3 linked regions of the Stegostoma tigrinum genome follow. The protein of the gene in region 1 interacts with the protein of each later gene in a pairwise test. Links are inferred from orthologs where the notes say so. Each region holds a gene or a part of one and is shown in the gene's direction. Other genes may lie near its edges. The genes, in order: erbb2, ezrb and pdgfra.

Evidence for each region.
Region 2: the proteins of erbb2 (region 1) and ezrb interact in a protein complementation assay, tested with the Homo sapiens proteins (2 studies listed by BioGRID and IntAct, with this or other methods). The link is inferred for Stegostoma tigrinum from reciprocal best matches to the Homo sapiens genes ERBB2 and EZR.
Region 3: the proteins of erbb2 (region 1) and pdgfra interact in a protein complementation assay, tested with the Homo sapiens proteins (2 studies listed by BioGRID, with this or other methods). The link is inferred for Stegostoma tigrinum from reciprocal best matches to the Homo sapiens genes ERBB2 and PDGFRA.

The regions. Positions count from the first base shown.
Region 1 is NC_081384.1:1,012,158-1,019,174, forward strand, and holds the start of erbb2 (receptor tyrosine-protein kinase erbB-2), read left to right. Parts: upstream 1-3,997; 5' UTR 3,998-4,078; coding exon 4,079-4,208; intron 4,209-7,017. Other genes in the region: pgap3 (post-GPI attachment to proteins factor 3), read right to left, coding at 2,644-2,796, 3,073-3,170, 3,456-3,645. UniProt on the Homo sapiens protein: Protein tyrosine kinase that is part of several cell surface receptor complexes, but that apparently needs a coreceptor for ligand binding. Essential component of a neuregulin-receptor complex, although neuregulins do not interact with it alone.
Region 2 is NC_081362.1:34,192,234-34,199,483, reverse strand, and holds the start of ezrb (ezrin b), read left to right. Parts: upstream 1-4,229; 5' UTR 4,230-4,365; intron 4,366-5,028; 5' UTR 5,029-5,099; coding exon 5,100-5,111; intron 5,112-7,250. UniProt on the Homo sapiens protein: Probably involved in connections of major cytoskeletal structures to the plasma membrane. In epithelial cells, required for the formation of microvilli and membrane ruffles on the apical pole. Along with PLEKHG6, required for normal macropinocytosis.
Region 3 is NC_081354.1:107,877,047-107,884,152, forward strand, and holds the start of pdgfra (platelet-derived growth factor receptor alpha), read left to right. Parts: upstream 1-4,061; 5' UTR 4,062-4,533; intron 4,534-5,067; exon of another isoform or gene 5,068-5,347; intron 5,348-7,106. UniProt on the Homo sapiens protein: Tyrosine-protein kinase that acts as a cell-surface receptor for PDGFA, PDGFB and PDGFC and plays an essential role in the regulation of embryonic development, cell proliferation, survival and chemotaxis.

The DNA.
Region 1 (7,017 bases):
AACCATTTCCCCTTCATATTCAGTGCTATTCTTAGATTACAAGAAGGATAGGCAGATTGGTCAGACCTGTGGCAGTTGGAATTTAACCCTGATAAATGAGAGGTGATGGTAACAAGACAAGGGAACACTCAATGAATGGCAGGATGCTAGGAAGGTCAGGGGACGAGATGGATATTGGGTGCTTTGACCACAGATCTTTGAAGATGGCAGGATAGGTTATTAGGGTAGTTAAGGCCCAAGTACAGCATATTTGCCTTTATCAGGTCTGGCATAGCTTACAAGAGAAGGGAAGCTATGGTGCAGCTGTACAGAACATTGATTAGGCCACAGCTGGAGTACCGAATGCAATTCTGGACACCACACAATAGGATGGATGTGACTGCACTGGAGCAGGTGCAGAGATGATTCATTAGGATGTTGCCCCGGACGGTGCATTTCAGCAATAAACAGAGGCTGGATAAGCACAGCACCTTTTCTTTGCAGCAAAGAAGGCTGAGAGGAAGAAACCTGATGGAGGTATAGAAGATTATGGAGGGCATATACAGGGTAGAAAGAAACCAGCTTTTCCCTTTGGTTGAAGGGTCAATAACAAGGGGCCATAATTTTAAGGTGAGAGGCACAAGGTTTATAGAGATTTGAGGAAAATCTTGTTCAACTAGAGGTCAGTGGGAATCTGAAACACTATTTGGGAGGGTTGTTTAGGGTGGAAAACTCAACTTTTAAAAAGTAGTTGGATGAACATGAAACGTAACAATCAAGGCTACGTACCAAGTGCTGGGTAGTGGGTCTAGTGAGAATTGGGTATTTTTGTCAATGCAGACTTAGTGGGCCACAGGCATCTTCTGTATGATTGTAACAGTATGTTAGAGGCTAGAAACTTGTCAGGAGTACCTCATCTCCTCATTCCCCAAAGCCTGTCCACCATCTACAAGGCATTAGACAGGAGTGTGGTGGAATACTCTCCACTTGGATAAGTGCAATGCCAAAACTCACTCAAGAAACTTGACACCATTCAGGACAAAACAGCAGCTCAATCGACATGTACATGCATCTACTTCCAGACTGGCACTCAGTAGCAGCAGTGTGTACCATCTACAAGATGCACTATTGAAATTTATCAAATTTCCTTAGACAGTGCCTTACAAGCTCACTTATCTAGGAGGCCAAGACGAGCAGATTACTGGAAAAACCACCGCATGCAAGCTCCCCTCCAAACCACCATCTTGGCTAGGATATGCAGTACTGTTACTGAAACTATACCCACAATGCCATTAGGGAGGGAGTTCCAACACTTACTGTACATCCTAGCCAAGGTGTTGCGTGGCTTGGAGGGGAACTTTCACATGGTGGTATTTTCATTAATTTGCTCCTCTTGTCCTCCTAGATAAGAGTTGTGGGCTTGTAAGGCATGGTCTGAGGAGATTTGATTATTTCTCTTGTGCATCTTGTCGATGGTTCAAGGAAGCAGCTCACCACAATCATCTTCAGGGCAAGAAGTGATGGCAACCATCATTCCATGAAATATTTATTTGTAAAGCTGACCTTCTGCCATCTACTGATCCATCCCTCATCTATAGCTCAGCTCAGTTCACTTCAGCTAGCTCAGCTTTCACACCCACATGGTTACTCTTAGTTATGTTTAAAATATAGTCTTATACTAACTTTTACCTTTCCAACAGGACACAAAATTTAATCATATTGTCATCATTGCTACCTCTAGGTTTACTGTGAGGTCATTAATTAATGCTGCCACATTATATAGCCCCAAATCTAGTAGAACCTGTTCTCTGATAAGGCCAATACCTTACACAGTATTCTAGATGTGGTCTCATCAACACCACGCATAACTGGAGCGAAACAGTTCTACTTTTATATCCTATTCACTTTGTAGTAAGCACCAACATTCCACTTGCCTTCCTAATGGCTTGCCATGCGTGCATAGTTCTTTTGCTTCAACAACCAGGACACAAGACAGCTTTGAACATTTGAGTTCTGCAATCTCTCCTATTAGATAATCTGCTGTTTCTTTGCTCTTTCTGGACAAATTCACATATTCACACATTATGGCTACTGCACGATATTCAACATTTCTATCAAATCTGCTGTAAGGAGAACTGTGCCAGCATCTCCTAATTAACTAAATACCTCACCCCTGGGAAAACAATCTGGTAAATCCCCTCTGCAAAAGTCCTTGACATCATTCCCAAAGTGCGGTGCCCAGAATGGGACAACATTTCAGCAGGGGTCAAACCTATCACTGACAAAAATTTAGTATAATCTCTTGGCACTTCAATTCAAGATTGTAACTGGGAGAAATCTAAAAGGCACTAATTACACCTTCATAAAGTCACTCGGACTTAAAGCAGCACCGTACAAGCTGGAGGTGACTCAACACCGATCTCTCCGTGAAAACACCCTCAATTATGGGCAAAAATTTAAAACTGCAAACAAGCCCCAGCTCCCAACTTCTCTGGAAAGCTATGCATGTGGTCACAGGAGGAGGCAAGATAAACTCAGGGTGATTTGCTTTCCTGGACCTCTAACAGGCTGTATCAGTCTGCTTCCTGTTCTACAGTATCTCTTCACTGCACTGTCGAGAGACACCAACTCTTTTACAACAGCAGAGTTTAGTATTGTCATTACCATGGCGAAGGAGATGCATGTATGGTACATCGGAGATTCGAGAGGCACTGCAGCCCGGTACCTGCCCAACATCATGTAGTTGGCCAGTCCATTCAGCATAGAGGCAAAGGCTGAGGCAGGTTCTTGGAAGAACAGAAATCGGTAGAAGGGCCACTGCAAAAAGAAAGAGAAGCACTAGTTCAGTCAAGAAACAATCCAGCATCCTTAGCCAGGGCAGTGGTGGTGGTGGGGCTCAACAAATGGTCTTGAGAAACATCAAATTACAGGCAATATTTTTGTGAAGGGGCTCAGGGTCACACCAAAGTGGTCATTGTAGGGTTCACAATAAGGGTTCGTGGTCTTACTGGTTCCCAGGAATATCAGATATTGAATGCTCCAACCAAAGTCAGTATCAATTAATAATTTAAATTACTGCAGCACCCACATCACCTTGCCATAAAATTGAGGCACTTTGTGTCCTTCCTGAACGTACAGTCCCACTGTCAGCCACATACAGTTGTATTGACAGTCATCAGCACAACTCCAACCTGCCAGTAGAAAGAGACATGGTCAACATTCAAGCTACTTTTAACAAGCAACTCAACCACAAATTAACTAACTTCAGGGCCACTGCAATAGGGAAAAGACAACTGTTGAATCAACGGGCATTGCCTCAGTCTGAGTAAAGAAACAAAGGAAAATAATTCTTGATCAAATGCCCACTCATTTTGATGCAATGAAAGCAAAACGGACAGAAACCCCGACGAGAGTCGGGGTTCGGGGTCCGGGGGTGGGGGGTGGGTGGCGCGTACCCTGGGGGATGTGGCCCTTACCTGCTGCCATCATGTAGAGGGGCTGCAGTTTGTGGAAAATCCGCAGCCGGGCTCCAGTACAGTTGTGTCGCCCACACATCTGGACGCAGTGGCGGTAGTAGGGCTCCCGGTCCCCCTGGGAGCAAGAGGCGGCAGGCAGACAGACAGCGGCAAGGCCCAAGCAGTACAAGGCCAAGGCATTAGCCCACATCGTCAAGGCGGGCGGGAATCCCAGAGACGGACACGTACAACAATCCAACAGGATTACTGCGTTACACCTTCATCGGCCCCCGGCACACTAACAGCGGGTAAACGTACCGCCGGGCCCTCTCCGCAGCCAGACACGGCGCCATTAACCTCACCTTTCTCTGGCCCCGCCCACACAAAGGCCAAGCTCCTCCTCGCCTCACCAACACGGCGAGCCCCGCCCCACAGCTGTGCCCCACCCACACGGCGAGCCCCACCCCTCATCCCGGCCCCACGCACACGGCAAGCCCCGCCCCTCATCCCTGCTCCACGCACACGACAAGCCACGCCCTCATTGCTGGCCCCACGGTCTCACACAGCCCCACCATTTTCCTTCCCTCCCCCACCCCCGTAGAACAATCCAAAAGCCCCGCCCGCTATTTGTCCCCACCGCAACCATGTGCCCCGCCCACCGCCGGAGCCCGCCCCACTCCGCTCCGGCCGGAAGTGGAGCTCGCGCGGCCGGCGGGACGATGCGGCTCGCGGGGCTTCTGCTCCTCGCAGCGCTCGGTGCGGCCCAGAGGCCAGGTAAGGCCTGCGGTGAGATAAGGCTGGGACGGTGTTCCGGCGGTTGGGGGAGAGTAGGAAGCTAGTGTGGGGACGGTGATCCAGCCGTGGCCTCAGATTGCGTGTCGCTGCGGGCAGGGGTGTTGCGGCAGAGAGGTATAGTCACTGCTCAATACCGACAGCGATCAGGAGCCCGGACGATCCCAATCAGGCCAAGTGTGAACGGAAAGGTGACACCTCCGACAGTGCCCGCTCCCTCAGCACTGACCCTCCGACAGTGCCCGCTCCCTCAGCACTGACCCTCCGACAGTGCCCGCTCCCTCAGCACTGACCCTCCGACAGTGCCCGCTCCCTCAGCACTGACCCTCCGACAGTGCCCGCTCCCTCAGCACTGACCCTCCGACAGTGCCCGCTCCCTCAGCACTGACCCTCCGACAGTGCCCGCTCCCTCAGCACTGACCCTCCGACAGTGCCCGCTCCCTCAGCACTGACCCTCCGACTGTGCCCGCTCCCTCAGCACTGACCCTCCGACTGTGCCCGCTCCCTCAGCACTGACCCTCCGACAGTGCCCCCTCCCTCAGCACTGACCCTCCGACAGTGCCCCCTCCCTCAGCACTGACCCTCCGACAGTGCCCCCTCCCTCAGCACTGACCCTCCGACAGTGCCCCCTCCCTCAGCACTGACCCTCCGACAGGGCCCGCTCCCTCAGCACTGACCCTCCGACAGTGCCCGCTCCCTCAGCACTGACCCTCCGACAGTGCCCGCTCCCTCAGCACTGACCCTCCGACAGTGCCCGCTCCCTCAGCACTGACCCTCCGACAGTGCCCGCTCCCTCAGCACTGACCCTCCGACTGTGCCCGCTCCCTCAGCACTGACCCTCCGACAGCGCCCACTCCCTCAGCACTGACCCTCCGACAGCGCCCGCTCCCTCAGCCCAGACCCTCCGACAGCGCCCGCTCCCTCAGCCCAGACCCTCCGACAGCGCTCGCTCCCTCAGCCCAGACCCTCCGACAGTGCGGCGCTCCCTCAGCACTGACCCTCCGACAGTGCCCGCTCCCTCAGCACTGACCCTCCGACAGTGCCCGCTCCCTCAGCACTGACCCTCCGACAGTGCGGCGCTCCCTCAGCACTGACCCTCCGACAGTGCCCGCTCCCTCAGCACTGACCCTCCGACAGTGCCCGCTCCCTCAGCACTGACCCTCCGACAGTGCCCGCTCCCTCAGCACTGACCCTCCGACAGTGCCCGCTCCCTCAGCACTGACCCTCCGACAGTGCCCGCTCCCTCAGCACTGACCCTCCGACAGTGCGGCGCTCCCCAAGCACTGACCCTCCGACAGTGCCCGCTCCCTCAGCCCAGACCCTCCGACAGTGCCCGCTCCCTCAGCACTGACCCTCCGACAGTTCCCGCTCCCTCAGCACTGACCCTCCGACAGTGCGGCGCTCCCCAAGCACTGACCCTTCGACAGTTCCCGCTCCCTCAGCCCAGACCCTCCGACAGTGCGGCGCTCCCCAAGCACTGACCCTCCGACAGTGCCCGCTCCCTCAGCCCAGACCCTCTGACAGTGCCCGCTCCCTCAGCCCAGACCCTCTGACAGTGCCCGCTCCCTCAGCACTGACCCTCCGACAGTTCCCGCTCCCTCAGCACTGACCCTCCGACAGTGCGGCGCTCCCCAAGCACTGACCCTTCGACAGTTCCCCTCCCTCAGCCCAGACCCTCCGACAGTGCCCGCTCCCTCAGCACTGACCCTCCGACAGTACCCTCCCTCAGCACTGACCCTCCGACAGTTCCTGCTCCCTCAGCACTGACCCTCTGACAGTGCCCGCTCCCTCAGCACTGACCCTCTGGCAGTGCCTGCTCCCTCAGTACTGACCCTCTGACAGTGCCCGCTCCCTCAGCACTGACCCTCCGACAGTACCCTCCCTCAGCCCAGACCCTCTGACAGTGCCCGCTCCCTCAGCCCAGACCCTCTGACAGTGCCCGCTCCCTCAGCACTGACCCTCCGGCAGTGCCTGCTCCCTCAGCACTGACCCTCCGACAGTGCGGCGCTCCCTCAGCGCTGACCCTCCGACAGTGCGGCGCTCCCTCAGCGCTGACCCTCCGACAGTGCGGCGCTCCCTCGGCACTCCCTTGGGGTCGTTGGTTATTATTTTTGAAAAGGTGAGTTATTTGGTGATATCGGAAATGCGAAGGAAATAATTCAGATTTGTAGGAGCCAGGTGCTCGACTGTTTTGGATCTGAATATGAGAATTTTAAAATGGTTGTGCAGCAGATCTGCGAGACAATGCAACATTAGTCACTGAAAGTGGAGGTGATTGGTGGATGTAACTCCGTGAAAATTAGTTTTGTGGGAACGGAATTTCAGATGATGTAGAGTGATTAGAGGGCAGAAGATGAGACCAATTGCAAGTCTGTTGGATATTTTTATACCCAGAACTAAAAAATGTGTTGTTGATGATTTTGGCTGTGGGTGTGGCCAATGTTACAAATGTGCAGATAGGTGGCCTTGGTAATGGAAAGGAGATAGGATCAGAAGCCCAGCTCTGAGACAATTGGCACATTATTTGTAAAATTTCATTTGTCAAAATTCTAGGATCAGGTTTCTTATTAGAGTTTGATTCTAGTCATCAAGTCGTGTTCCAGAGGGTTGTGGAATTTCTGTGGTTGAATATATTTAAGGCTGAACATATTTTTGGTCTCTCAGAGCAGAGAAATATTGAGTGATTGAGAAAGTAGAGTTGAAACCCAAGATAAGGGTTATGTTAAATATCACAGCAAGTTCAATTGGTAAGTATCTGTACAATATAGAGAGGGTGCTGTGCTGTCGGAGT
Region 2 (7,250 bases), on another chromosome or scaffold:
GGGAGTCTGAAACACAGAGATATAGTTTCCTTTAGCATCAGGAACAATCAAGTGGGATGAGGTTATGAGAATTTTAATCAATCAAAAGACTGTAAATCTTTGGAATACTCTATCCTTAAACATTGCGGATGCTCCATTGTTGTCATCTTGAAGGTTGTAATAGATCTTTCGTCTCTTGAAAGATCAAAGATTTGAGGAGTGAATGACAAAGTGGAGCTGAAGTCCTGTCATGACCCTGATGTGAAGTGTGCATTGGAAATTAAATCCCACTATTCCATGAGTTGTTCCAAAAATGTAAATGACTAAGATGGTTATTTTTTAATAACTTCTATCAATGAACAAGGAAGGAAAAAGGCATTTATTATGACATACATATTCTTTGGCACTTAGTAAAAATGGAATATTAATTACTAATATGCAAACCTAAACCATCCTCCCTTTAAATCAAAATATGCACACATTCATTCACAAACAGAGAAAGCAATTTTAGAGAAATATTGTTGTTGAATGAGAGATAATGGGAACTGCAGATGCTGGAGAATCCAAGATAACAAAGTGTGGAGCTGGATGAACTCAGCAGGCCAAGCAGCATCTCAGGAGCACAAAAGCTGACGTTTCGGGCCTAGACCCTTCATCAGATGTCTAGGCCCGAAACGTCAGCTTTTGTGCTCCTGAGATGCTGCTTGGCCTGCTGTGTTCATCCAGCTCCACACTTTGTTATCTTGTTGCTGAATGACACTGGCATTCTATGGCTTTCAATGGGTCAAAAGTCCAAACCACAATGGAGTGGAAGAGAACATAGAACATAGAACATGGAACAGAATAGCACAGTACTGGCCCTTTGGCCCATGATGTTGTGCCAATCTATTATCCTATTCTAAGATCAAACTGCCCTGCATATCCATGTGCCTATCCAAGAGTCGCTTAAATTTCCTTAATGTATCTGACTCCACTACCACCACCGGCAGAACATTCCATGCACCCACCACTCTCTGCGTAAAGAACCTATCTCCGACATCTCCCCTATACCTTCCTCCAATCACTTTAAAATTATGTACACTTGCAATAGTCATTTCTGTCCTGGGAAAAAGACTCTGGGTATCCACTCTATCTGTGCCTCTCATTATCTTGTACCCCTCTGTCAAGTCACCTGTCATCCTTCTTCGCTCCAAAAGAGAAAAGCCCTAGCTCCCTCAACCTTTCATCATAAGACCTGTCCTCCAGTCCAGGCAGCATCCTGGTAAATCTTCTCTGCACCCTCTCTAAAGCTTCCACATCCTTCCCTTAATGTAGCAACCAGAACTGAACATAATATTCCGAGTGTGGTCTAACCAGGATTTTACAGAGCTACAGCATAACCTCGCAGCTTTTAAACTCAATTTCCCTGCCCATGAAAGCCAACACGCCATGCACCTTCTTAATAACCTGATCAACTTGTTGGCAACTTTGAGGGATCTATGGACATGGACCCCAAGATCCCTCTGTTCCTCCACACTGCCAAGAATCCTGCCATTAACCCTGTATTCTGCATTCACATTCAACCTTCCAAAATGAATCACTTGACACTTTTCTGGGTTGAATTCCATCTGCCACTTCTTTGCCTAGCTTTATGTCCTGTCAGTGTCCCATTGCAACCCACAACAGCCCTCCGAGTGAAGTAGCTTCCATCAGTTCTCTTGATTTTGGCAATGATATCATGTTATTGTCAACCACACTGAACCTCAATTTGGTAGCTGGTCAGTCAGACAAACATCTTTTGGTTCTTGTTTTCAGAGTCTTTTAGTACAGGTTTTCCTCCATTCACTTCTTCACTCTATCTTCTGTCAGCTGTTTTGGAAAACATTGTGACCTCAAAATGGCAGAGCTATAGACCATATATTGTAGCACAATGAATTTGGCAAGTACTGCCAAGTGCCACTAGCCCCTCCAGAGAGGGCTGCTGTGTCTTGTGATTGCATATTGTGTGGCAGCCTGAAACAAAAACAGAAAGCGCTAGAAATAAAGGAATTCTGTTATTATTTGAGATATTCAGTTCCTCCCATCTACTACTTTTGTATTGATACCCTGTTTCTCTTTATGTGCGTACTGTCCACATTTGCCTTTGTTATTCAGCACTTAAACAAGGTCAGCGGCCATCACTCTGTCTACCTTTTAGACATACTGTACTTTGATACTTTGCTAAGATAAAACACATCAGACAAGAGTCAAACATTAAGATTGACAAGTCACCAGGCCCGGACCAGATTTGTCCTCGGCTGCTTTGGGAAGCGAGAAATGCAATTGCTTCGCCACTTGCGAAGATCTTTGCATCCTCGCTCTCCACTGGAGTCGTACCTGAGGACTGGAGAGAGGCAAATGTAATTCCTCTCTTCAAGAAAGGAAATAGGGAAATCCCCGACAATTATAGACCGGTAAGTCTCACGTCTGTCGTCTGCAAGGTGTTAGAAAGGATTCTGAGGGATAAGATTTATGACCATCTGGAAGAGCATGGCTTGATCAAATACAGTCAACACTGCTTTGTGAGGGGTAGGTCATGCCTTACAAACCTTATCGGGTTTTTTGAGGATGTGACTAGAAAGGTTGATGAGGGTCGAGCTGTGGATGTGGTGTATATGGACTTCAGTAAGGCATTTGATAAGGTTCCCCATGGTAGGCTCATTCAGAAGGTCAGGAGGAATGGGATACAGGGGAACTTAGCTGTCTGGATACAGAATTGGCTGGCCAACAGAAGACAGCGAGTGGTAGTAGAAGGAAAATATTCTGCCTGGAAGTCAGTGGTGAGTGGAGTTCCACAGGGCTCTGTCCTTGGGCCTCTACTGTTTGTAATTTTTATTAATGACTTGGACGAGGGGATTGAAGGATGGGTCAGCAAGTTTGCAGACGATACAAAGGTCGGAGGTGTCGTTGACAGTGTAGAGGGCTGTTGTAGGCTGCAGCGGGACATTGACAGGATGCAGAGATGGGCTGAGAGGTGGCAGATGGAGTTCAACCTGGATAAATGCGAGGTGATGCATTTTGGAAGGTCGAATTTGAAAGCTGAGTACAGGATTAAGGATAGGATTCTTGGCAGCGTGGAGGAACAGAGGGATCCTGGTGTGCAGATACATAGATCCCTTAAAATGGCCACCCAAGTGGACAGGGTTGTTAAGAAAGCATATGGTGTTTTGGCTTTCATTAACAGGGGGATTGAGTTTAAGAGTCATGAGATCTTGTTGCAGCTCTATAAAACTTTGGTTAGACCGCACTTGGAATACTGCGTCCAGTTCTGGGCGCCCTATTATAGGAAAGATGTGGATGCTTTGGAGAGGGTTCAGAGGAGGTTTACCAGGATGCTGCCTGGACTAGAGGGCTTATCTTATGAAGAGAGGTTGACTGAACTCGGTCTCTTTTCATTGGAGAAAAGGAGGAGGAGAGGGGACCTAATTGAGGTATACAAGATAATGAGAGGCATAGATAGAGTTGATAGCCAGAGACTATTTCCCAGGGCAGAAATGGCTAGCACGAGGGGTCATAGTTTTAAGCTGGTTGGTGGAAAGTATAGAGGGGATGTCAGAGGCAGGTTCTTTACGCAGAGAGTTGTGAGAGCATGGAATGCATTGCCAGCAGCAGTTGTGGAAGCAAGGTCATTGGGGTCATTTAAGAGACTGCTGGACATGTATATGGTCACAGAAATTTGAGGGTGCATACATGAGGATCAATGGTCGGCACAACATTGTGGGCTGAAGGGCCTGTTCTGTGCTGTACTGTTCTATGTTCTATGTTCTAAGAGTAGACTTAAGCCCCATTCCAGACATTGAGTTCATAATACTGATATTTTAGTGCAGGAGTGAGGGAGACTTTGTTCTCAGAGAGGTCTTTTCTTTCTGATAGGATATTAAAGAAATGAGTCATTTGAACCAAACAAGAAAAAAAATCCGCTGTATTCTTTGAGAGAAAATGAATTATCCCTGATCAACATCTGTCCTTTAATCAATATAACTAAAGCAAATAATCTCGTCAGTGATAACACAGTGTGGAGATGGAGAAGCACAGCAGGCCAAGCTGTTCGGCCTGCCGTGCTTCTCCATCTCCACACTGTTATCTCAGACTCCAGCATCTGCAGTTCTTGCTATCTCTTGAGATAATCTGGTCATTTCTGTTTTGTGAGCGCTAACTTTCCAAAAATTCCACCAGTCCAAAGGTGCTACCTAAATGAAAGTTAGTGCTTTCTTAATGCTGTAGTATTGGAGGCGGGTGAAAGGCAGCGCCACTGAGATAGGGAGCGGCCGCGTTACAGGGGAGTGGCAGCAAGAAACGGAGAGGATTAGGTAAAACGGAACAGCCAGCCATATTGGAGACACCCAGGTGTAAGCGACCTGTGGGCAGGTAAGGAGCCGAGTTGCCGGGGAAAAAGTTGAGAGGTAGTAAGGAGCGGGTGGAGTGCAATTGCGCTGTGATTGATGTATGTCCGACCCAATCTCTACCGAGATTGCGTGGCTTCTTTCACCGAATTTTCGGGGGAGCGTAACATCAGACATAAGAATTTCGAAAAGTTTTTTTTGTTGAATCTAATTCATCTACAGTCAAACTAATTTAAATTATCATAGCAAATTTTAAAATGTAAATTCTGTAAAGTATTTAAAATTTAGATCAAAACTGTTCTTTCGGAATTTTAAATAACGATTTGAGGCAAATATCAGAGCGTATATGCAGACTCCGCCCGAATTAACCAGGGTTGATACCTCAAACTGTCCAAGGCCTGATTTAACCTCCTAAATCTTGGGGGAATGTCACTTTAATTAACCCAAGGCGACCCTGAACCAAGCCCAGGGTCACATCCTCACACAATCGTCTCCCTCACCACCTCCCCTCCCTGGAGGCATTTTGTGAGTGGGTGGCACCCGCTGTTCTTTAGTGAATTTTCTGACTGTGCCCTGTTTACCACTCGAAGTTTCTGGAGGTGAATCACTGCAAGGTGCAGCTTTTGCCGGGCCAGGCACGACTTCTACCCAGACCCAGCTCCTTACCTCAATGTTCATTTTGTGGCAGGTGATTGATTGGACCTTAAACCTCAACTTCTCGGCACTTGTTCAACTAGAAATAACTTCAGAAGACCGAAAATGCCGAAACCGGTATGTAGTAAAAGTCTTTTTTTAGAAAGCCAAGCGTGTTTAATTCTTAAATAAGATGGTGTCTTGTGAAGTAAGTCGCAGCAATCACTTCATGCATTGAATTACATATAATCTAACACTTGCAGCAATATAACTGCCAGTTTTTCCTATTTTTCCCCCTTTATGTAATTCTGACTGATAGAGCAATTTTCACAAGGTAATCTTGCTTTAATTGAAACTTGAAGCTTTGGCATTGTAGGTTGCTGTGGCTATGAATTGTTGAATAATTGTTGTTAGTTAAACCTGACAGTGAGTTGTGCTGGTACAGAATTTGGTTTGCCTTTTAGACTTGATCACACTACATTAAGTTTTAAGTCATCACCCTTCCAAGTTTCAGAGGTGGCCTGGTATGATGAACAAAGCCTACATTTGTAATAGAATGAAGTGTTTTAAAAGTTTTGATTTGGTTGCTGTGGAAACGCTAGAGGGTACTATTTAATTGTTGCAAAAAAATGGACTACTTAAGATGATTCCTGCCTTCAGGAAAAATGTAGCCAGCATGAGCTTTGGGTGTCTTCTCATTCTTCAATTTCAATGTTGTTCTCCTTTAAAAGTGGATGGCTGCTGAATGCATGAAAGTTTACTACGTGTTCTGATTAACAAATTGGACCATACATTTTGTTCAATAATAAATTGCAGTTATTTTCATTTATAAGTTTTAACACTTGAAAGTTCATGTGAGTATTCTGATTTCAGTTTGCGTGTTGCTCAAGTCTGAGCCATACCTTGTATTTGCTAGTTCTAGATTGTACCTTGGTTGTTAAAATGTAAAATACACATTGTACTAGATCAGTTAAATCTGGCTTGAAAGGAGACCTGTTTGCATTAATTGATACAAGGCTTAGGGATACAGATTTAAAACTTTAAGTAAGGAACTGTTTTACTCTGAGTAGTATCAGAGATAATGGGAACTGCAGATGCTGGAGAATTCCAAGATAATAAAATGTGAGGCTGGATGAACACAGCAGGCCAAGCAGCATCTCAGGAGCACTCTGAAGGGTCTAGGCCCGAAACGTCAGCTTTTGTGCTCCTGAGATGCTGCTTGGCCTGCTGTGTTCATCCAGCCTCACATTTTATTATCTTACTCCTGAGTAGTAATGGCTAGGAGCTTGCCCCCTACAAGAGTGGTAGGAATGAAAGCATGATTTCAAAACAATTGGATGGGCAGTAGAGGATAATCCAATTTTCAGGGCTGCAGAATAGAGCAGAGGAATTCTCTGATCGGATTGCTGTATAGTCAGCATGGACTCAAGGGGTTGAATAGCACATTCTGTGCTGGAATGGCTGTATAAATCTGGTAAGATTGTTTAAGCTGTTCCTTTTTAGAAACAGAAAGGGAAGGGGAAAATAACTTGGCATGTGACTTCAATCCCATAACCAAGATCTTTCTGACTTTTTTTAAACAGTTCAGGATTTTCAAAGGTCATAATTAATGTGTCAAGAATTCCTGCATTTTGCATGCTTTTGATAATGTAATTGATTAAAAATGTTGATCAATTACATTAATGTGCTGAGAACTGAGTTGAACCTAGTGTAGAGCAAGTATTGTCATCGTTACTAAGCTGGAAATTGGACTGAACAAAGGTTCTCTACTCAGTATTTGATGACTTCATGAAGTTTTTATGGAAAATAAATATTCTTATTGCTGAGATTTCAAAAGAGCCAAGTTTTCTGATTTAAAGAAGCATAATTCAATTAAAAATTGAGATATAATGATGTTGAATCTGTAGTAATTTAGTAAGTCACAGGTGTTATGTTTAGTACTTGGTTCCATATTTCAGGATGTATTTGAGGCAATAATGAGATCATCAGGCTCATTTAAGACCCACTTCCCTGTGTCAGGGCATTGTGATGGGGTGTAGATGTGCAAAAACAGTATGTAACAGTGGAGTAGTTTCATTAGATCAGAGTGACTTGTAAAGTCCTCTGCATTCTGTAATTATGATGGAATGACAAGACACAAACAAACTGGATTTTGATTGTTGTTATCAACTTAACTTAAACATTTGAACAGCATAGGATAAGGTCTTTGCAGACCGGGTGGTGGAATGTAGTACTTGCATTGATTGAAGTAGAAACTATGACTATATTGATGTAGCT
Region 3 (7,106 bases), on another chromosome or scaffold:
TTCAGAGATAGTAGGAACTGTCGATGACTTGCTATTCTAGATAAAAAGTAAAGAACTTTACGAGTACGCTCATTAAATATGAATCGGAAAGTTAAATGGAAACGCAAATGGCTGAAGAGAGAATAGTATTTATGAATGATAAAATAGTTTATGGTGAAGAACTACGCAGTATCCTGGGTGACAGTAGAGTGGGTTAGACGGATAGACTGGGAGTTGACCTTTTCTCATTTCCACTCCAGCAAGTGTTCTAATCCGATATGACACGAAAAGGTCCCGCTTTTTAAAACTGCTTTAGTGTGAGGGCAAGGTATTGAGAATAGTCTTGATGAAAACAAACGGTACAAACCGAGTTCTGGCTGGTGGTCCGTGTTTCTGAAGAAAGCAGGATTGAGAGGTGCAATGAAAAGTCTTGTAGAGTGCAGTTGGTCCAGCAAAATGTCTTTGCCAGTTCCGAAAGAACCTGTGTTTGATTACATTGTTCATCTGTTGTGAAACGTTCATGAACGACATTGTTACAGTCGGGGCATGTGCCAGCGAGAGAGAGAGAGAGAGAGAGAGAAATCAGTACACTGCCACTGGAAACGAATGGAGCTTTTAAGTTCAGGAGCGAGTCTCAGAACGCAAGATACGAGTCAAACAACATTCAAGTGAGGATACTCTAGAAGGTGCCAAACCAAACGATCATTAAGACTGAACCGGATCGAATGTGGTCATAAAACAAAGCTCACACACTAGAACTAATTGCGCTCCTGGTTGTAAATGGCCAGCATCAGTTTGTAAAACTGTAGTTTTAAAGCTGGGATCGAAAACCAGATGAAGTCTCGGTTTACGAACCAGTCAGCTACATCAAAGGGAAAGCAACTGCGTTCGCCTTCGCTGACAACTCAGTCCCAAAGCGTTCACAACGGCCAGATTACACCGAAAAAAAAAAGACTTGAAACCCCCGCACAACTCCGGCAGCTCCATATCGAGCAAAAAATTATTTATCCCGTGGACAACACTCACAGCGGGGGTGGTGGGGACAGAATTTCACAGAGCACACTGAACAAATACGAGCTAACAGTTCATAGAATATCCCACAGATTGGACCTTGATAGCGGCCTGTTATCAATGCGAGAGGTCCCTTGTGACACATGGTGAAGGGAGTTGGGACAGTCAGGGAGCCATCCACGGACACATATGGTGTGCATTTAAACGCTTCCTATTAGAGTATGGCCTGATAAGAGACAAATAAACAAACAGACCTGTCACTTTGGGAGACATTTTCTTACCCCCCCTCCCTTATACCCGTTCGGACCACACAGCGCCTCTGTGCTGGCTGGGTAGTTTATTAATTGTCTTTCCCGGCAGTTTGATTCACCCCAGTAGGAGCAACGGAACCCAGCTGCTCTGACTAATCTACCCCCAAAAAGAAAAGAAATCATGAGGAAGGACAAGTTACGGATTGCTTTCAACAGTATCGCGGGCCCCCTCTGGTCAAATGGCTTTCTTGGTCTCCGTGTCATTTGCACCCACGCAGCCCCCTAATAAAGTCAAGGAGTTAGTCTGTCATTGAATTCAATTAGGTTAGCTCCAAAAAGAGTGATAATTGCCTTTTAAACACAAAATCCTTTCACCAAACTCCCAAACTTGCAAATAACTTATTACACCGTGGAATCTTTATTTGTTTAAAGTATTCGTTAAGGAGAGCAAAGCGGAGGTTTGGGAATGAAGGAGCAAATTACTGCAGATGTTATTCTGAGTCTGGGAACGGGAGTTAGATCGATAACAGCAGCGCTGCTCATTGCTGACGGGCAGGCACTGAGCTCCCCCTGAAGATGCAGTGTTACCAACACATGCAAGTCTCACAGTTCTGTGCTTATCTTCGCCGGAGTGCCGGGGTACTGAAGCAGAGCGCATGTTATGTCGTGGAATGGAAATCGCCCCCAACCAGACTGCTGAATTAAAACATGCTGTAGCGTAATGTTAAGAGTAACCTGGGTAAAGAGCATGTTTACGTCAGACCAATTTGCGTTGTGTGGACGCACGTCTTCCCACAGTAACGAGGTTATGATCTAACAATGACACATCTGTCCACATCAGGATTGATCGAGTGGGCCGTGTATCTTTCCGTTTTATTTCAGAAGAAACCCTCCCAATCCAGGCGAATAAATATGCGCATACGCTGATAATCTCCCGTTCAAAATCGCAAGTCTTCCTCTGCACTTGCTGGGTTTATTCCAGCAGGTATAGAGGTGGTTCTGCTGTACCCCTGCATCCTATGGGCCAGGTGCACAAGCGCCCAGACGAGGGATTTTCTATTACACTGGAGGCTGAGCAATCTCAGCTCTTTGGGCCAAACGATTGCCCTGGCCAAGCCTGCAATCTTGCCGACCTTTACCTTCAACCAGCCCAATAGGCCGTGGACATCATCCTTGGGAGCAGGCGGGTGGGGTTAATGGTGTTCCTCTAGTTCGGAATCCCTTCAAGATGGCCTGTTGGTGAGAAGCTGAAAGTGGAGCCTCGATTGTTGACTGGCGGGTCAGGGCGGTGTGTACCTAGCTAGGGCTCACAGGGAGCTCGGCTGCTGACTGGAGGTGGTATTCCACCGACCTGTTCTTCTCCCCACACACCCCTCCAAACGCTGCAGGTCAGTGCGCCGAGGGAGTGACCTTGTATTGGAAATCTACACTGTAGTAATTCAGCAACAGAGAGCTCACCTTCACCTTGCATCAAGTTTACTCTGTGCTTGACCTTCCATCCACGTATTCATCATTCCCGACAAAGTCAATTAACTGGATGTTTGCAAGAGGCAGCAATGTTTTTCAAATTGCAACCAATTGACTCAAACTATTGTTCGGTCTGCCGACTGATGTACACTCAAACCATTACAATCTCAGGCTCAGACTTGTAAATAGGATATAGCTACACTCTAACCCCCCAGCGTGGCTTCTTAGAGTTATTTGATTTCTTACAAGATAACGCAGTCGGTGTTTAAACAATAAACTGAAATAATTTCTTAGTTGGAAAAACAGCTAAATGTACCACCGAGGGTGAAAACATGACAAGTCCAAAGAGCGAGAAACTCAGCGAAGTATTCGGGAAATAACAACAGGGTTTGAAATGGACAGGGACTGCAAAACTCTCGGCTTTTTTTTCCCTTTTTGAAAAGTTAGTCTATCGATCGGCGCGTGTGCCGTCACTAATAGTTTATAAACACGCTCTTATTTACATCAAACACATTCGAACGTTCTCTCAGATGGGTAAGAGACTGTTTCTTTCGGAATAATACGGTATCTCCGAGCATCCAGAAACAAGAGGTTCCCCAGATTGGCCTCGCTGTTGCCTCCAATGATTTCCTGAAACACATGTGGAAGTAATATTTGGCCTGTTCACTCCCAGCGCTGAAGATATATTACTGCAGCTAACGGCTGGGGGCAAGATGAGAAACAGCAGCGAGCTACACAAAAAAAAAACAGGAGAACGAACAAGCCCGCTCCTTCCAGCGGGCACCCAGTGTTGGCACATAGTTTGCACAATTGCTCCCCGCCACATTTCTTTCGATATTTACACCCTTGCTTTATCCCAATTGATTAGAAGATGGAGACGGTCTGAGCTTGTTAGACAACATGTCAAACCGACCTTTTCATGCAGCCAGTTCGGGTTTTTAAATGCAAAGAGAGCAGGCGATCTCACCTCACTCCTGGGCAATAACTCCCAAGGAACAGAACAAGGGCGCCTCCTGCCTTCACTGGTCAATATTGAATCAGGTCATTACGCGAAACGATCTGTTTACAACATACTTAAATCATTTTACCCAGTGTTTAGGAATGTCTTCTGTTTCCTATAATCCCAAAATAAAACACTTTGCAGATTTATTGCGGTTGACAACGTTCAGGAGGACATTAAAAATACTATGCAGTTCTCTTTCCCCCAAACCCTACCCCCACACCTCTCTAAACAAAACTCTGGCAAACAATCCTCAAATCTCTCAAGCCATTTCTATTTGAGTGACACTAACATTACAAACGTAACTGTCCCACTACATTGGTACTGAGCACAGATCAGCCGCGTTTAACAAGGGCTGGGAATTCATTCATAAAGACTAGCTATCCTTCCGTGAGCGTATTGTCAGCACGGGCGGAGGGGTGCAACTTGGGGAGAGAGAGAGAGAGGGAAACATTTTCGTCCATATAAAACTTGCTTCAAAATGCACATATGGCAATTTTCTGCGCAAGACAGCCTGAATGTGACTGCCCTGCGTGGATAAGAGTTTGGGAAGGCTAGCTTCGACCGCCTGAAGCCAATAGGGCTCCAAGAGCAGCGTGTGATCTGCGGACTCTTATTCTGAAGCGACTTCAGGGGCTTCATTTCCTGACAGTTATTTACTTAAAGCAGATGATTAGTTTTTTTGGAAGGATGGACTGCAACATTGAATCAATTACAAGTCGCCGTTCTTTGAGCCATTAAACAATCTGAGCCCAGCTCCAGAGTGAAACGTACATGCTGCCCCTGTTCGGAACAGAAGTTGGTGGACTTACCACTTTGCACAAGGTAGGGGGCAAACAAATCATTTTTATAAAGGCGTGCGGGGCGAGAGTGGGGGCCCTGTTTTATCTCCTTGTGTAAAATCTGTTAGTAAATAGGTCTGGCGTTCCAGACGACAATATAGATTGCACCCACAGCTGTGCCTGCACACATCCCTCTGCTGGTTCGCCGTCGGTCCAAAGGGGCACAAGCATCTTAAGGACTAGGAGAACTGCTTGTACTTTATTATGTAAGAGTCTTGTTCATATCGTCGATTGTTCTCAGAAGGCTGTTCGCTTTGGCCAGCGATGGAGTATGAAAGTGGTGCGTTTCATTGAGTGGAGTGCATGTTTTGAGTTTGGAAGTGAGCGCTTATCTGAGAGTGTGTGGCATGTTAGAGCGGTACCGTTATCGAGTGAGGAAACAGAGCGGCTCTGTGCACGGTCTTGGGTCATGATAACCGTCCCGCTGCATTTAACTTGGCCAGCCGCGCTGCAGACTGATGGCTCCATTGCATAATACCTATAATAATGACAAACACATTGGCGCTGGATGTGGGAGCCACCGTGAGCCTGCGTCAGGGATTTGAGGAATTTCGGACGAAGTGGAGGCTTTCTGTCTCTCCTTCTCTCTTCCTGGGAATACTCCGCTGTCCTGGGATCGAGGGTGGCGGAGGGAGAGATTTGGGGATTGTACAGGAGTTCTGGCGTGCGGATGAATCACGTAAACAGGAAGGAGGGAGAAGTGAGCCAATGCTTGTTGGCTAGTCCGTGAGGGAAAGCAGTATCGGGAGGTTTCTGCGAAACTTGCGAGAGGGGAAAGTAGCAGCAGGATAAACGAGGTAGGAATCAATGTAGTATTTCAGTAATATCTCTCTCTTCGCTCCTTTTCTTATAACTTGTTTCTTTCTTCATCATTTGGCTGTAGTTAGACTCACTCTCAGGAAACTTGATCATTCATTTTAATCATTTCCTTCATTCAAACCCCCTTCAGTTCTGGAAGAGAATGAACAGTAAAACTTACAACTTTACTCCGATTCTCTCTAAGCCGACTTTTCCCACTTGCTGTTCCATCGTTCGCACTATTTTGTCACTTTGCCCCCACCCCCAGGTCCTTTAGCCTCTATAGTTATCCACTCGCCCACTGCCCAACTCCCCCCCCCCCCACTCTCTCTGTTTTACCGCTGTACCCAAAAATAGTTTCTCTACTCTGGTACTGGATTTTTTGTTTTCTCTGAGAGGTGCGTCTGATTTGCTGTCTGCCCTGCTCCGTGTGCCCGTTGCCTTCTCTTGCTCAGGAAACACCCGGAGCAGACCCTTTGCCCGGCATCCCCCCCCCCCCAACACCCCACACAGCACTTCCCCGCGCCGATCTCCCCTGCTCCCCTCTTTTTGCCGGGGACTCGATCCGGAGATTGAGAAGCGGCAGACGGACCGATGGACGGGTAAACATTTGGCCCGAAGTAGTCGCAGCTCTTCATCAGAAGTGCCAAAAGCCAGTGGGAGGGCTGTTGAAACCGAGACCCTGCTGGGTGGCACTGAAATGGTTAAGAGCAGCGCAGATACAGAGAGAGAGAGAGAGAGAGAGCGCAGCGCTCCGCGCGGTGGGTAGCTGGCACTTTAAGAAGCCCCAGCTCTTATTGAGAAAAGTAAAGTCGGTAACAATGGGACTTCTGTAAGGCTATCTTCTGATAAAACAGCTCCTGTTGTCGGGAAATCCTTTCTGTTTCTCTCTTTCTCTCTAATCCTTTTATTTAACCAAGTTAACCAAGACTGTGACTAAAACATGTTCGCTTTCAGTTGTCCTGGCCTCTCTGTTGTCATTATTCCCAGTCCCATCCTCTGCTCACAGTTCAGTCTTTCATGAACGGAGCGGAGCTCCACACTTTGTTATCTTGGAGCCCTGTTGAGGTGAGATTTTCGACGCAGAATCAAGCCAGCGGGTGGTGTCCCAAAGATTTCGAAATGTTCGCCTTTGGGAGGCGACTCTATTTGCACTGCCAGCTCACAGGACCCCTGCAGGATTTTGACCGAGCGGAGAGAGGATGCGCTTTGCCTATTCACTCCCCTGGGACATCCCAGGGGTTTGGTGGCGAATCCAGGGGGTAGTTTGGAGCTGACCTCCTCACACTGGAGTCTGCTCCCCGTCTTGTTGCACTTAAAGGACGCTTGGAGGAATCTGATAAATTACCCTAGGGTTTAGCACGTCCCAAATGCACATCCTCCACAACAAAAACAACCTGAATCAAAGCCGGTTACTCAGGTCAAGCCACTCTGCTGCTGAGTAATCCCGGACAGGCAGGATGAGAGCGGCGGGTGGGTATAACTGAGTGGCCTGCAGCCTGTCCCCCAGGTCTCTGGCTGTTTCGCCCCTTTGTAACGTGGAGTCAACTCGAGTCTTCACCAGGTTCTTTTTTCTACCTTCAAACATCGCTTGGGATTACGAATATTGAATGCAGAATGTAAATGCTATATCTGTAACTTGCTGTTCCTCTCACAAACATTAATAGAGGTTTAAAATGTCATCAGATTGACAATGACAAAGGATACCCTCCTGCACGTGACAAAACTGGGATGTGGGTGCTGTACGTTTTTTTCCCT